Macaca mulatta: one gene and its partners. The protein of the gene in region 3 purifies or fractionates together with the protein of the main gene of each other region. This does not show direct contact. Links are inferred from orthologs where the notes say so. Each region holds a gene or a part of one and is shown on either strand. Other genes may lie near its edges.

Evidence for each region.
Region 1: the proteins of MMS19 (region 3) and CIAO3 purify together in Homo sapiens (affinity purification with mass spectrometry; 3 studies listed by BioGRID and IntAct, with this or other methods). This does not show direct contact. The link is inferred for Macaca mulatta from reciprocal best matches to the Homo sapiens genes MMS19 and CIAO3.
Region 2: the proteins of MMS19 (region 3) and PPAT purify together in Homo sapiens (affinity purification with mass spectrometry; 3 studies listed by BioGRID and IntAct, with this or other methods). This does not show direct contact. The link is inferred for Macaca mulatta from reciprocal best matches to the Homo sapiens genes MMS19 and PPAT.

What each region holds. Positions count from the first base shown.
Region 1 is NC_133425.1:1,950,375-1,954,020, reverse strand, and holds part of CIAO3 (cytosolic Fe-S cluster assembly factor NARFL), read left to right. Parts: coding exon 1-77; intron 78-868; coding exon 869-1,001; intron 1,002-2,355; coding exon 2,356-2,490; intron 2,491-2,877; coding exon 2,878-2,996; intron 2,997-3,646.
Region 2 is NC_133410.1:77,081,999-77,085,644, reverse strand, and holds part of PPAT (amidophosphoribosyltransferase), read right to left. Parts: intron 3,603-3,646; coding exon 3,475-3,602; intron 1,786-3,474; coding exon 1,564-1,785; intron 1-1,563. UniProt on the Homo sapiens protein: Catalyzes the formation of phosphoribosylamine from phosphoribosylpyrophosphate (PRPP) and glutamine.
Region 3 is NC_133414.1:109,546,151-109,550,443, forward strand, and holds the start of MMS19 (MMS19 nucleotide excision repair protein homolog), read right to left. Parts: upstream 2,916-4,293; 5' UTR 2,899-2,915; coding exon 2,787-2,898; intron 1,062-2,786; exon of another isoform or gene 999-1,061; intron 394-998; exon of another isoform or gene 1-393. Other genes in the region: UBTD1 (ubiquitin domain-containing protein 1), read left to right, coding at 3,731-3,800. UniProt on the Homo sapiens protein: Key component of the cytosolic iron-sulfur protein assembly (CIA) complex, a multiprotein complex that mediates the incorporation of iron-sulfur cluster into apoproteins specifically involved in DNA metabolism and genomic integrity.

The sequences.
Region 1 (3,646 bases), on a different chromosome or scaffold from region 3:
GCATCACCTCTGCAGAGACCGTGCTTATCACCCAGCAGAGCCACGAAGAGCTGAAGAAGGTTCTAGATGCTAACAAAGTAAGTGGTGGGCGGCCAGAGGACTCTGCTTTAACCTGAAATCCACCCCAGCAGCCGAGGCATTTTGCCAAGGGCAGCTTGTGTGGTGCCGCCTGCAGGTGGCACCTGCCTTTCTGAGGCTTGGGATCTCGGTGATTTACCTGTCAGTTGGTGCCAGTGGTGAACGTGTCAGGCCCGGAACTTCAGGTTCTAAATATACATCAAAATGACACCCTTGCCGGGCGCAGTGGCTTGCGCCTGTAATCCCAGCACTTTGGGAGGCTGAGGCGGGTGGATCACCTGAGGTCAGGAGTTCAACACCACCCTGGCCAACATGGCAAAACCCCGTCTCTACTAAAAATACAAGAATTAGCCAGGTACGGTGGTGCACACCTGTAATCCCAGCTACTCGGGAGGCTGAGGCCGGAGAATCACTGACAGAAGTTGCAGTGAGCCAAGATCATGCCATTGCACTCCAGCCTGGGTGACAGAGCGAGACTCCATCAAAAAAAAAATGATATCCTTGGCCAGGCACAGTGGTTCACACCTGTAATCCCACCTACCCAGGAGGCTAAGGCAGGAGAATCCCTTGAACCTGGGAGGCAGAGGTTGCCGTGAGCTCTGATCACAGCACTGCACTCCAGCCTGGGCAATAGAGCAAGACTCTGTGTGGGGGAAAAAAAAAAAAAAGACACTCTTGATAGAGCTGGCATGCCCTCTCCACAGCCGACGGCATCTCACCGGGCAGCTCTGGGCACCAGGAATCAGCATAAGGCCGGCAGAGTAAGCAGCGTCTTCCCCTTGCTTTGCAGATGGCGGCGCCCAGTCAGCAGAGGCTGGTTGTAGTCTCAGTCTCGCCACAGTCTAGAGCATCGCTGGCTGCACGGTTTCAGCTGAATCCTACAGACACTGCCAGGAAATTAACCTCATTCTTTAAAAAAATAGGTAGGCTTTGAACCTGGGGTAACACTGCCACTCCACACCAAGGGGGCGTCTGAGTGAGCCCAGGCTCCTCGTGCCTCTGAGTCACTGACATGCCACCCAGCCCTGAACTTCAGTGCTACAGAAACTTTATTCCCTCTGTGACCTCAGCCTGAAGTTTTGATTTGACATTTGAGAGCAGTGCCTTCTCACAGAAATCGTCTGCATTCTGACTGTGCACTTTCTGTGAGTTGGGGCTGACCAACTCCTTGTACTTTTTAGCTGATGATATTAAGGCACTCTCTCCGGGGCTCCGCTGGGTTCAGCTAAGGCCAGCTTCGGCGGACTTCGGTTGTGTGCCTGGAGCTGGGCTTGGGTGTCTTGAGAGGCCCCAGCTAACCAGGCTCCTATGCCCGGTGGCTCACTGGGAATGAAGGGGCTGGACCTCATGGCTGCTGTGTGCCTTTCATGGGTAACCGCCACGTCCAGTCCCTTCGTTCCCAGTGAGGCAGGACTGTGTGCTTTGTACCCGGCAGACTGCCTGTCATCCAACTGTGTCCCGGGTCCCTCACATTGGAAACCTGTTGACACTGGCAGGTGCCCCGTGGCTCTTGTCTGACCCACACCCACGTCCAGTTGGTGTCTGAGCAGTGCTCTGGCACTGGGAGCCTGACCTGGTGTCTCAGGGGAAACCTGGCCTGGGGCAGCCCGTGGTTCTCCAGGTGGAAGGTGTGGGTTTCGTCCCCACGGGAATAGGAAGCAAGTTCAAAGATTTTTACTTACAGATCACGGGCAGGTGGGGCACAGTGAGTCCGAAGGCCGTCTTCCGACCATGGGTTACACGAGGCAGGAATGACAGGTCAGGCAGAGACAGAGGGACCCACGTGCTGGTGCCTCTGCTGGTGTCCAGGGCACGATCAGGCAGGTTTACCAAGCAGTTCTAATTGCTGGGCTTGGAGCCGGCGGGCCTGTCCCAGGAGTCCTGCCGTGTGTGAGGGGCGGCCACTGTGGCAGGTCTGCACACTCAGGGTCCGAGGGGCCAGTCCAGCAGGCCACGTCCAGCTGTGCCCTAGGGAGGGTCACCGGGAGCAGTGCACGTGGCAGTTCCCTGGACCAGCCTTGCTAAGGAGCTGGGAGGGTGGAGGACTGAGCTGCCGAGCGGCTGCCCTGCCTCTGGGGTGGGAAAGCAAGCCCTGCATTCGCAGGGGATGCCGAGGCAACGCGGCTTAAGGAGGTCCCCACGGTGGGGCCGGGGCTTTGGCACGGGAAGCGGGTGCCACACACGTCCCCCAGCAGCACCACGGTGGTCCACACACAGGCGTGTACTCGCGTGGGCGTCCCGCGCGGGGCTAGCCAGGCACCCACCTTCACCTTCCAGGGGTGCACTTTGTCTTTGACACCGCCTTCTCAAGGCACTTCAGCCTCCTGGAGAGCCAGAGAGAGTTTGTGCGGCGATTCCGAGGACAGGCCGACTGCAGACAGGCCCTGCCCCTGCTGGCCTCCGCCTGCCCAGGTGTGCTCATGGTGCGGGCGGTGTGAGAGTCAAGTTCGAGTTAAGTTAAAATGTGACATGATATGGACACGGATGACAAAGCGGGGGATAGGGGGTGGAGACGCAAGCCGGTTTCGCAGGACGGGTTAGAAATGTTGGCACAAATGGCCTTTTGTGGAGAAGGGGCTGCCCTCCCTTGGGAGCCACCCACAGTCACCTCAGGTCCCTAGGCGGTGTTGCGTGCACGCCGAGCTCCACGTGGTGGTGGGAAGAACAGGAACGAGCACTCTTTAATGTCATCATGATCTCCCATATGAGCGGACCCGCCTCCAGAATGTCGTGCTGCTGCCTGTGGGTGCGGGGGCCGCCGTGCGCCCCCGCCAGCCCCGTGTGCCCCTGTCGCCTCAGGCTGGATCTGCTATGCCGAGAAGACGCACGGCAGCTTCATCCTCCCCTACATCAGCACCGCCCGGTCCCCGCAGCAGGTCATGGGCTCCCTGGTCAAGGACTTCTTCGCCCAGCAGCAGGTAACGGCGTTGGGCCGCCCCAGGCTCAGGCTGGGGAGCGGCCAGACGTGATTATTCTGGCTGTTTGCCGCGAAGCCGCAGGAAACAGTCCTCGCCTTGGTGTGTGGCCTTCCCGAGCACACCTCCACCCTTGTTCCCTCCTAGTTCAGGCCACTCCTCTCCTGCTGGGCAGCACAGGGCCACGTTCCGATCCACAGCTGCTCACTGCTCACACAGAAACAGCCAGGCCTGGGGCTGAGGGAGCAGGAGGCCCTCGGGCAGCCCCGGCCACCAGATCCACAGGGTGCCCAGCACGACCCCCACCTGAGGCCCCGCGGGATTGAAGCCTGACGACACTCAGCCAGTGGGGGGCGGGACTGAAGCCTGACGACACTCAGCCATTGAGGGTGGCCCTGGTGGTGCCTGGGCCCGGAGTGCCCATGTCCCCTACAGCACCTCCCGCCCGAAAACACGGATTTTCACCTGGGGCTGGGGCTGGTTGGTTCCCCTGTGACATCCCTTTCCCCGGCTGGTGTGCAGCGAGAGGGCCTGAGCTGTGGGAAGGCCACTTCTCCTCCTCCTTTGGACTTGGCTGTTAGGGAGTGCAGGCACACTGGGAACGGGTCAGTGTCGTTTTCTGTCGCAGCCAGGGCCTGTCCTATCCAGGGGCA
Region 2 (3,646 bases), on a different chromosome or scaffold from region 3:
TTCTGTAGTATGAGCTATGAAATAGAATAAGCTTTGAAATCTTAAAATAACTTAGTATATCTATATAAAAACATGTTGTACACAATGAATATATACATTTATCAATTTAAATAATAAAAATTAAAAAAAAATTTTTTCAAGACATAAAGTGAGGCCAGGTGTGGTGGCTCACACCTGTAATCCAAGCACCTTGGGAGGCTGAGACAGGCGGATGGCCTGAGCTCAGGAGTTTGAGATCAGCATGGGCAACATGGCGAAACACTGCCTCTACTGAAAATACAAAAAATTAGCCGGGCATGGTGGTGTGTGCCTATGGTCCCAGCTATTTGGGAGGCTGAAGTGGGAGGACTGCTTGAGCCCAGGAGGTAGAGGTTGCAGTGAGGTGAGATCGAACCACTGCATTCCAACCAGGTGACACATTGAGTCCCAGTATCAAGGAAAAAACAAAAGACGTAAAGTGATATTAAAAAATAACTTGGCTGGGCACGGTGGCTCATGCCTGTAATCCTAACACCTTGGGAGGCCAAGGCAGGTGGATTACTTGAGCCCAGGAGCTCAAGACCAGCCTGGGAAACATGGTGAAACCCCGTCTCTACTAAAAATACAAAAATTAGCCTGACTGCAATGACGCATGCCTATAGTCCCAGAAACTGAGAAGGCTAAGGTGGGAGGATTGCTTGAGCCCCAGAAGCAGAGGTTGCAGTGAGTTGAGATGGTGCCATAGCACTCCAGCCTAGGCAACAGAGCCAGACACTGTCTTTAACAAAGAAATTTTAAAAAATATTAAGTCAAAGGTATTACACTGGAATTGGCTGCATGTCTTCAAGTAGAGAAAGCAATCACTACTCCACTGATTTTAAAGAGCATTCTATTTTGTGCTTTTAGACTTTTTTTTTGAGATTGGTTCGGCTCACTGCAATCTCCACCTCCCAGGCTCAAGCCATCCTCCCACCTCAGCCTCCTAAGTAGCTGGAATTTTAGGTGTGTGCCACCACGCCCCACCCATTTTTTGTAATTTTAGGAGAGGCGAGTTTCACTATGTCACCCAGGCTGGTCTTGAACTACTAGACTCAAGCAATCTGCCCACCTCAGCCTCCCAAAGTGCTGGAATTATAGGCATAAGTCGCTGTGTCCAGCCTATTTTGTATAGTCTTTTTGTTAAAATTTTAGGTTTTTTAAAATTTAATTTAATTTTTTTAAATTTAATTTTACTATTATCTTTTATTTTTGTAGAGACAGGGTCTCACTATATTGCCCAGGCTGTCCTCGAACTCCTGGGCTCAAGCAACCCTCCTGCCTCAGGCTCCTGGGATTACAGGCATGAGCTACCTCACCCAGCCTTAAGCTTTTATATTGAGCTTTTTAATCTATTAAGGATTACATTTAAAGTGTGGCTGTTACATGTTCTCCAAGTTGCTACACAGTTAATCCTAAATCAAACTGATATAAAAAAGTTAATTTATTATATTGAACATCCATTTTGATTCACTACCCTGAATTGCAATTTTATGCCAGTATCTTATTGTTAACTGATGCTTTGGGATATGTTTTAATATTACTCACCTCTTTTGCACCAGATTCTTTGAGCAGTTTTATTATAGGTGAGATGGTATTGCCTCTCACAATTGAATCATCTACAAGAACAATTCTTTTGCCTTTAAAGTTGTCTGACAATACTCCAAATTTTTTTGCAACACCAAGTTGTCTTAACCTCATGTTTGGCTGAATGAAGGTTCTCCCTACATATCGGTTTTTACACAGCACCTCCACATATGGAAGTCCACACTGATAGAGAAGAAATGAAAGGACAATGAGGAGCAATATACAGAACAGGCAAATATTAGTTCTCTAGATTGTGTTGCCACCAGAATATTCAAGTGAAATTTCAAAATTATTTTCCTTTATTATTTGGAGAAAAGGCAAAAAGAAAAACCACTAAACAAAATATACTTGGTGGAAAAACCAATTCATTTTGTGAGGACTCATAATGTTTTTGTCTTAAACATTATTCCTGTTTTGAAAGATAACACTAAGCATATGAAGACATGACAAAGATTAAATCACTGTCAGAAAAATTCATTATTCAAAATGATAATTTTTATTTTTATTTTTTTGAGACGGACTTGCTCTGTCGCCCAGGCTGGAGCGCAGTGGCCGCGATCTCGGCTCACTGCAAGCTCCGCCTCCCGGGTTCACGCCATTCTCCTGCCTCAGCCTCCGAGTAGCTGGGACTATAGGCGCCCGCCACCACGCCCGGCTAGTTTTTTGTATTTTTAGTAGAGACGGGGTTTCACCATGTTAGCCAGGATGGTCTCGATCTCCTGACCTCGTGATCCACCCGCCTCGGCCTCCCAAAGCGCTGGGATTACAGGCTTGAGCCACCGCGCCCGGCCCAAAATAATTTTTAAAGAAATGAATTAAATAAATTAAAACCAGTAGACTAATGAGATACTTTTTAGGGATAGGAGGTAATTAACCCATTTATCAAGGTAATCTTTTATAAAATGTATGCATATTAATTATTTTAGAAGCTAATGAAGTATCCAAGGTAGTGAATATTGGATGTTATACCCCAGGATTACTATAGTTACACAATCTACCTGGTTATGAAAATAAAGCATAACACTGACAACATTATGCTAAATGAACATAAACAGCTTTATTATTACCCATACTTAGTAGCAAGCAAATATTCCAGTGACTTGCGAAGATGATTCAAGATGTTTATTTTAATATTAAGTAAATTTTTCCACTGAAGTCAATATACAGTTGATGAACAGCATGGGTTTGAAGTGCATGAGTCTACTTATAGGTGGATTTTCTTCCATCTCTGCCAACCCTTAGACAGCAAGACCAGCCCCTTCTTTTCCTCTTCCCTCCTCAGCCTACTCAACGTGAAGACAACAATGAGGATGAAGACCTTTATGAAGATCCATTTTTACTTAAGGAATAGTAAATATATTTTCTCCTCCTTATGATTTTCTTCAAAGCATTTACTTTTCTCTAGCTTAAGTTATTGCAAGAATACAGTATATAATATATACACAAAATATGTTAATCAACTGTTTATGTTATTGATCAGGCTTCCAGTCAACAGTAGGTTATCAGTTAAGTTTGGGGGCATTAAAATGTATACACAGATTTGACTGTGCAGAGGGCTGGCACCTTTAACCCCCAAATTGTTCAAGGGTCAACTGTATATTCATGATGTTATCTTTTTAAAAAGAGGGGGGCAAATTTCTGAACCCTTTAGTGAACGTTTTTTCTTTTCAGTGAACCTTTTAGTGGTTTTCACTAAAATAGTGCCATTGGGTAAAAAGCCTGGAAAATAAATAACGCTTGTAAACAAACCAACATTAACCACCAAACCTTCCTTTCTCCTTAGAAATGTTGATGAGTTTCTCTTTATAGGCAAGGATTTCTTATTCCACAGCTAGGAGAGCAATTCACTGCATGTTAATTAAGAGAAAATACCTTTCCTGCATAAGCAAGAGCAGCAGGTGTAGCAGATTCTGGAACAGTGCTGACCAAATCTGCATCCACAGGTGCTTCAATCGCTAGCTGCTGGCCACAACGGTATCTTACTGTATAAACCATTTGGTCTGGTGTGTTTGGAAAAGGAGAGAGAGTATTTTACTTAGCATAA
Region 3 (4,293 bases):
GTTGGTCCCTTTAGCACTAACAAAGCTTGATTTAGGCTGAAGGATTAGAAAGCACATCTTATTTCTATAAATGCTTCAACACTCTGTTATCCTTCAACAACCCTAACTAGGGCTGTGATCTAAGACTGACAATATTAACTTAATCCTTGTCAAATTCGTTTTCATTTTATGGCTCCCTTGCTTAAGGATCTACAACAACTCTTAGCACATGTAATAGGTCATTCAAATCCCTCTGCCTGGAATCCAAAGTTATGCAGAATCCAACCCCACCAAACCTTTTCAACTTTTATCTGTTACTGTTCCTCTGTATCAACTTTCTTTTCTTTTCTTTTTTTGAGACGGAAGTCTTGCTCTGTCGCCCAGGCTGGAGTACAGGGGCGTGATTTCTGCTCACTGCAGCCTCCACCTCCCAGGCTCAAGCGATTCTCCAGCCTCAGCCTCCTGAGTAGCTGGGATTACAGGCATGCACCACCACGCCTGGCTAATTTTTGCATTTTCGGTAGAGACGGGGTTTCACCATGTTGGCCAGGCTGGTCTCAAACTCCTGGGCTCAAGCGATCTGCCTACTTTGGCCTCTCGAAGTGTTGGCATTACAGGCATGAGCCACCGTGCCCAGCACCAACTTTCTTAAGAGGGCTAAATTACAACAGGGTTAGTGTTACAGTCTTAGATCAGCTGAGCTGAATTCAAACTAAACAGTTTAGACCATTTTTTTCGGAAAGAAACAAAAATATAAATTTTGCAAAAACATTTGTAAGAATTAAGCAGTCCCAGTGGCTCATGCCTGTGATTCCAGCACTTCGGGAGGCTGAGATGGGAGGATGGCTTCAGTCCTGGAGTTAGAGACCAAGCTATGCAACATGGTGAAACCTTGTCACTACAATACAAAAATTAGCCGAGCGCAGTGGCACAAGCCCTGTTGTCCCAGCTACTCCGGGAGGCTGAGGCAGGAGGATTGCTTGAGCATAGGTCGAGGCTACAGTGAGCCATGATTTCACCACTGCACTCCAGCCTGGCAGACAGAGCGGGACCTTGTCTCAAAAAAAAAAAAAAAAAAAAAAGAGAAGAATTTAGAAGTCCTTATTCAAGATAAGACATTCAAGATATTTTTTCAAAATATGTTCTGAATCCAAAAAATCAGTAATTATTGTTTTCATATTGCATAAATGTGAAAGACTCATCACAAATGACACTGATATAGTAATGTTCTGTATCTTGGTAGGGGGATGGATTGTATAGGTATACGCATTAGTCAAAATCAGGGAATGTACACTTAAAGATTTATATATTTCATTGAATATACATTTTACACCAAAATAAACCGTCAACAAACTCTAGTCAATGATATCCATGCCAAAGTATTTAAAGGAAAGTGTACAGGTATCTGCAATTTAAATAGATGGATAGCTGTATGATAAAGCAAGTAATATTAAAATGTTAATGGTAGGATAGATCCTAAGTGATGTATTCCTTATAAAATTCTTTATACTTGGCTGGATATTTGAAAATTTTCATAATAAAACATGAGGGAAAACGACATTATTAAGACACTGTACTTGTAAATTGTAAACACTGGTAACACACTACATTTCATAAAATTGTAAGATGTTGTTTGGTGGCAGCACCAGGTATTTGCTCCTTGATGCTTCCAAATTACCCTGCACATCCCTCTTATAGAATAGTTGCCTCTCCCAGCATACTATAAGTTTCCGGTGGGCACAGATCTAACCTAATTTGTATTTATATTCCTTAGGCTTTGCATCATGTTTGGGAAATAATATGTGTTCAACAATAGTGGCATGACTGAATCAAAGTGGAATACTGCTAACGAACAAAGTATTTTATTTCCAGCAGATTCACTATTCTTTTCTTACACATTCTAAAGGTTAATACGCTCAGTTTGCAAGAGAAATGTGTCCTTACTTCTCTCCAAGCATGCGAAATTTCCAAAATTTTTTAAACTACCCATTAGACAATTTTATATTGTTACTTAAACCCAAGATCTGAAGCCTTCCTAACATTCAATAACTTTTTAGTAGACTTTTTTTTCCTAGAAGAGCAAAGTCTCAGAACTCCACGGAAGCCTGGAAATTGTTTTATTCTAATTTTAGATAAGCTGTCTGAACTAAGAGATCTCTGAACTTGTCAAAAGCAGGCAAGTGGGGGTCTGGGAAGAAGATAAAAACAAACGCCACATAAAACGTCATGGAGCAAACTAATCAAGAACTTTGGCAAGAAACGGAGAGAAAGTCTTAAGGAGGACACCCAGAACATCTCCAGCTCCTCCTGGCCCGACTCCTCGCCTCCTCTTAATTCCAGCCAGTCAGAGCGCGGGGCCATCCGCCACTCCCAGGATGCCACGCGACGGGAGCGGACGCTGCGAGGATGCACCTCCACACGTCAACCTCCCACAAACAGCGTGGCTTCGTGGCTTGAGCACCCGGTTCGGACGTGAACGCCTGGGTCCGAGTCCCAGCTCCCCCTCCTGCCTTGTCTGCAGCCCTGCGCAAGTCCTCTTGCCCTCGCTGAGCCTCAGTTTCCTCATCTGTAAAATGTAATAATTCCCTATAATTGGCTATAGGGAGATGAAAAGTGTAAATGGTTTTAAGGAAGACACAGGCAACTCTCCAACTTGTTACGGCTCTGAAGCTCGCGGTGCTCACTAACCAGCCTTGAGACCAATCTCTCAAAGTCACCCGCTCCTCCTTTCCCGCCCGGCGCCTGTACCGAGGCCGCTCCCTCCTGTTGGCCCCCATGCGGAAGGCGCGCGGCGCCGTCTGCCGTACCTGCAGCCACCTGGTCAGCGGGGCCCTCTTGTTGACCCATGACGAAGTCGTGCACGAGGCCCCATAGGGCGCCCGTAGGCGCCGCCGCCTCCAGAGCCGCGGCGGCGGCCATGACGCGAACAAGAGACCGTGGGAGGGGATATGGGCGGTGGCAAGAGACGGGCCTCTCCGCGCATGCGCCTCCCGAGGCAATCGCGGGGAGAAGGCCAAGGGGGCGGGGCGCACCGGGTCACGTGCCTACCGGCTTCTAGCCAGGCAGTTCCAGGGAGGGGCGGGGCCTGGAATGGGGCGGCGGCACCGAGAGGGAAGGCGGCTGCTGGGCACGCAGCCGGAGGCCATTGAGGGCGAATAATTCCCGGCCCGGCTCCCCGGGAGACGGGCGGCGGGGCGGGCACCTGGCTGGGTGGGGAGAGGGGCGGTACGCACCACGGGGGAAGCCAATGAGAAAATCAGGCCCAGCCCGAGGGGGCGGTGCTGTCGGTCACATGCGCACCTGGGGCGGGTGGTGGCGGCGGCGCGGGCACCGCGAGCCGGCGGTGGGGAGCGGGGCCGGCCTGGGGCGGGGTTAGGCAGGTGAGTGACAGGCTCCAGGGGGCCGGCCCCTGCCTGGAGCCCCGAGCGACCGGGAGTAGCTGCGGCGGTGCCCGCCCCCTCTCTCCGCCCCTCCAGCGGAGCTGGTCTCCGGCCGGGCACCGTCGCGGGCCCCCCTGGCCCGGCCACCTGGGACTGTGCTAGGGAGTCTGCCACCTCCCTCTCTCCCCTGGCCCGCAAAGTTTTGGCGGAGCCAGCGCCGGGGCTGAGCGCGCCCCCGGGGGGAGATCGGGGAGCGCCAGATGCCGGGCGGCCGGAGCCGTTGACCCGGGACGCCGCCGTCCGGGGCAGGAGCGCGGAGCAGCCGACCACCTCGCCGCCTCCGGTGCATGGGGACTGGCTGAGGAGCCAGCATGGGCAACTGCGTGGGGAGACAGCGGCGGGAGAGGCCGGCAGCCCCGGGACACCCCCGCAAGCGAGCAGGTAACGACGGGGAAGGGAGCAGGGCCTCGGGCACCCCGCCAGTTGTCCCCCTCCTCGCCCGAGCTCTAGGCTTACCGATAGACTCCCCACTGGTGCTGGCGCTTGGGTTTCCCCGATAGCCTGCTCCGCAACCAGACGGGGCCGCTCCCCAGCGCCGGGCGAGCTGAGTTGGGGCAACTGCGAGCACTGAGCCGGCTGCGCGACCAACTCTCTCCAACTGGGAAGCTCCTGGTGGGGGTGGGGGCAGGAAATGTTTGCAGACCGCAGCGGGGCCGACGGATTGGGGGGAGGGCCCGGGGCGAGGGCGCCGCTGGCCTGGCAGCTCCGGCCGGGGTCGGACACCGGCCCGTCGGGGCACGGCGCGGGCAGCCAGGCGTCCCCAGAACTTGGAGCGAGCGGGGCGAGAACAGTCGCTCCTTCCAAAGACTGTGTCATTATCGGGCTGCAGATCGTGTCTGCCGGAATCCGACTTGCAAAGCAGCGCAGGACTCTG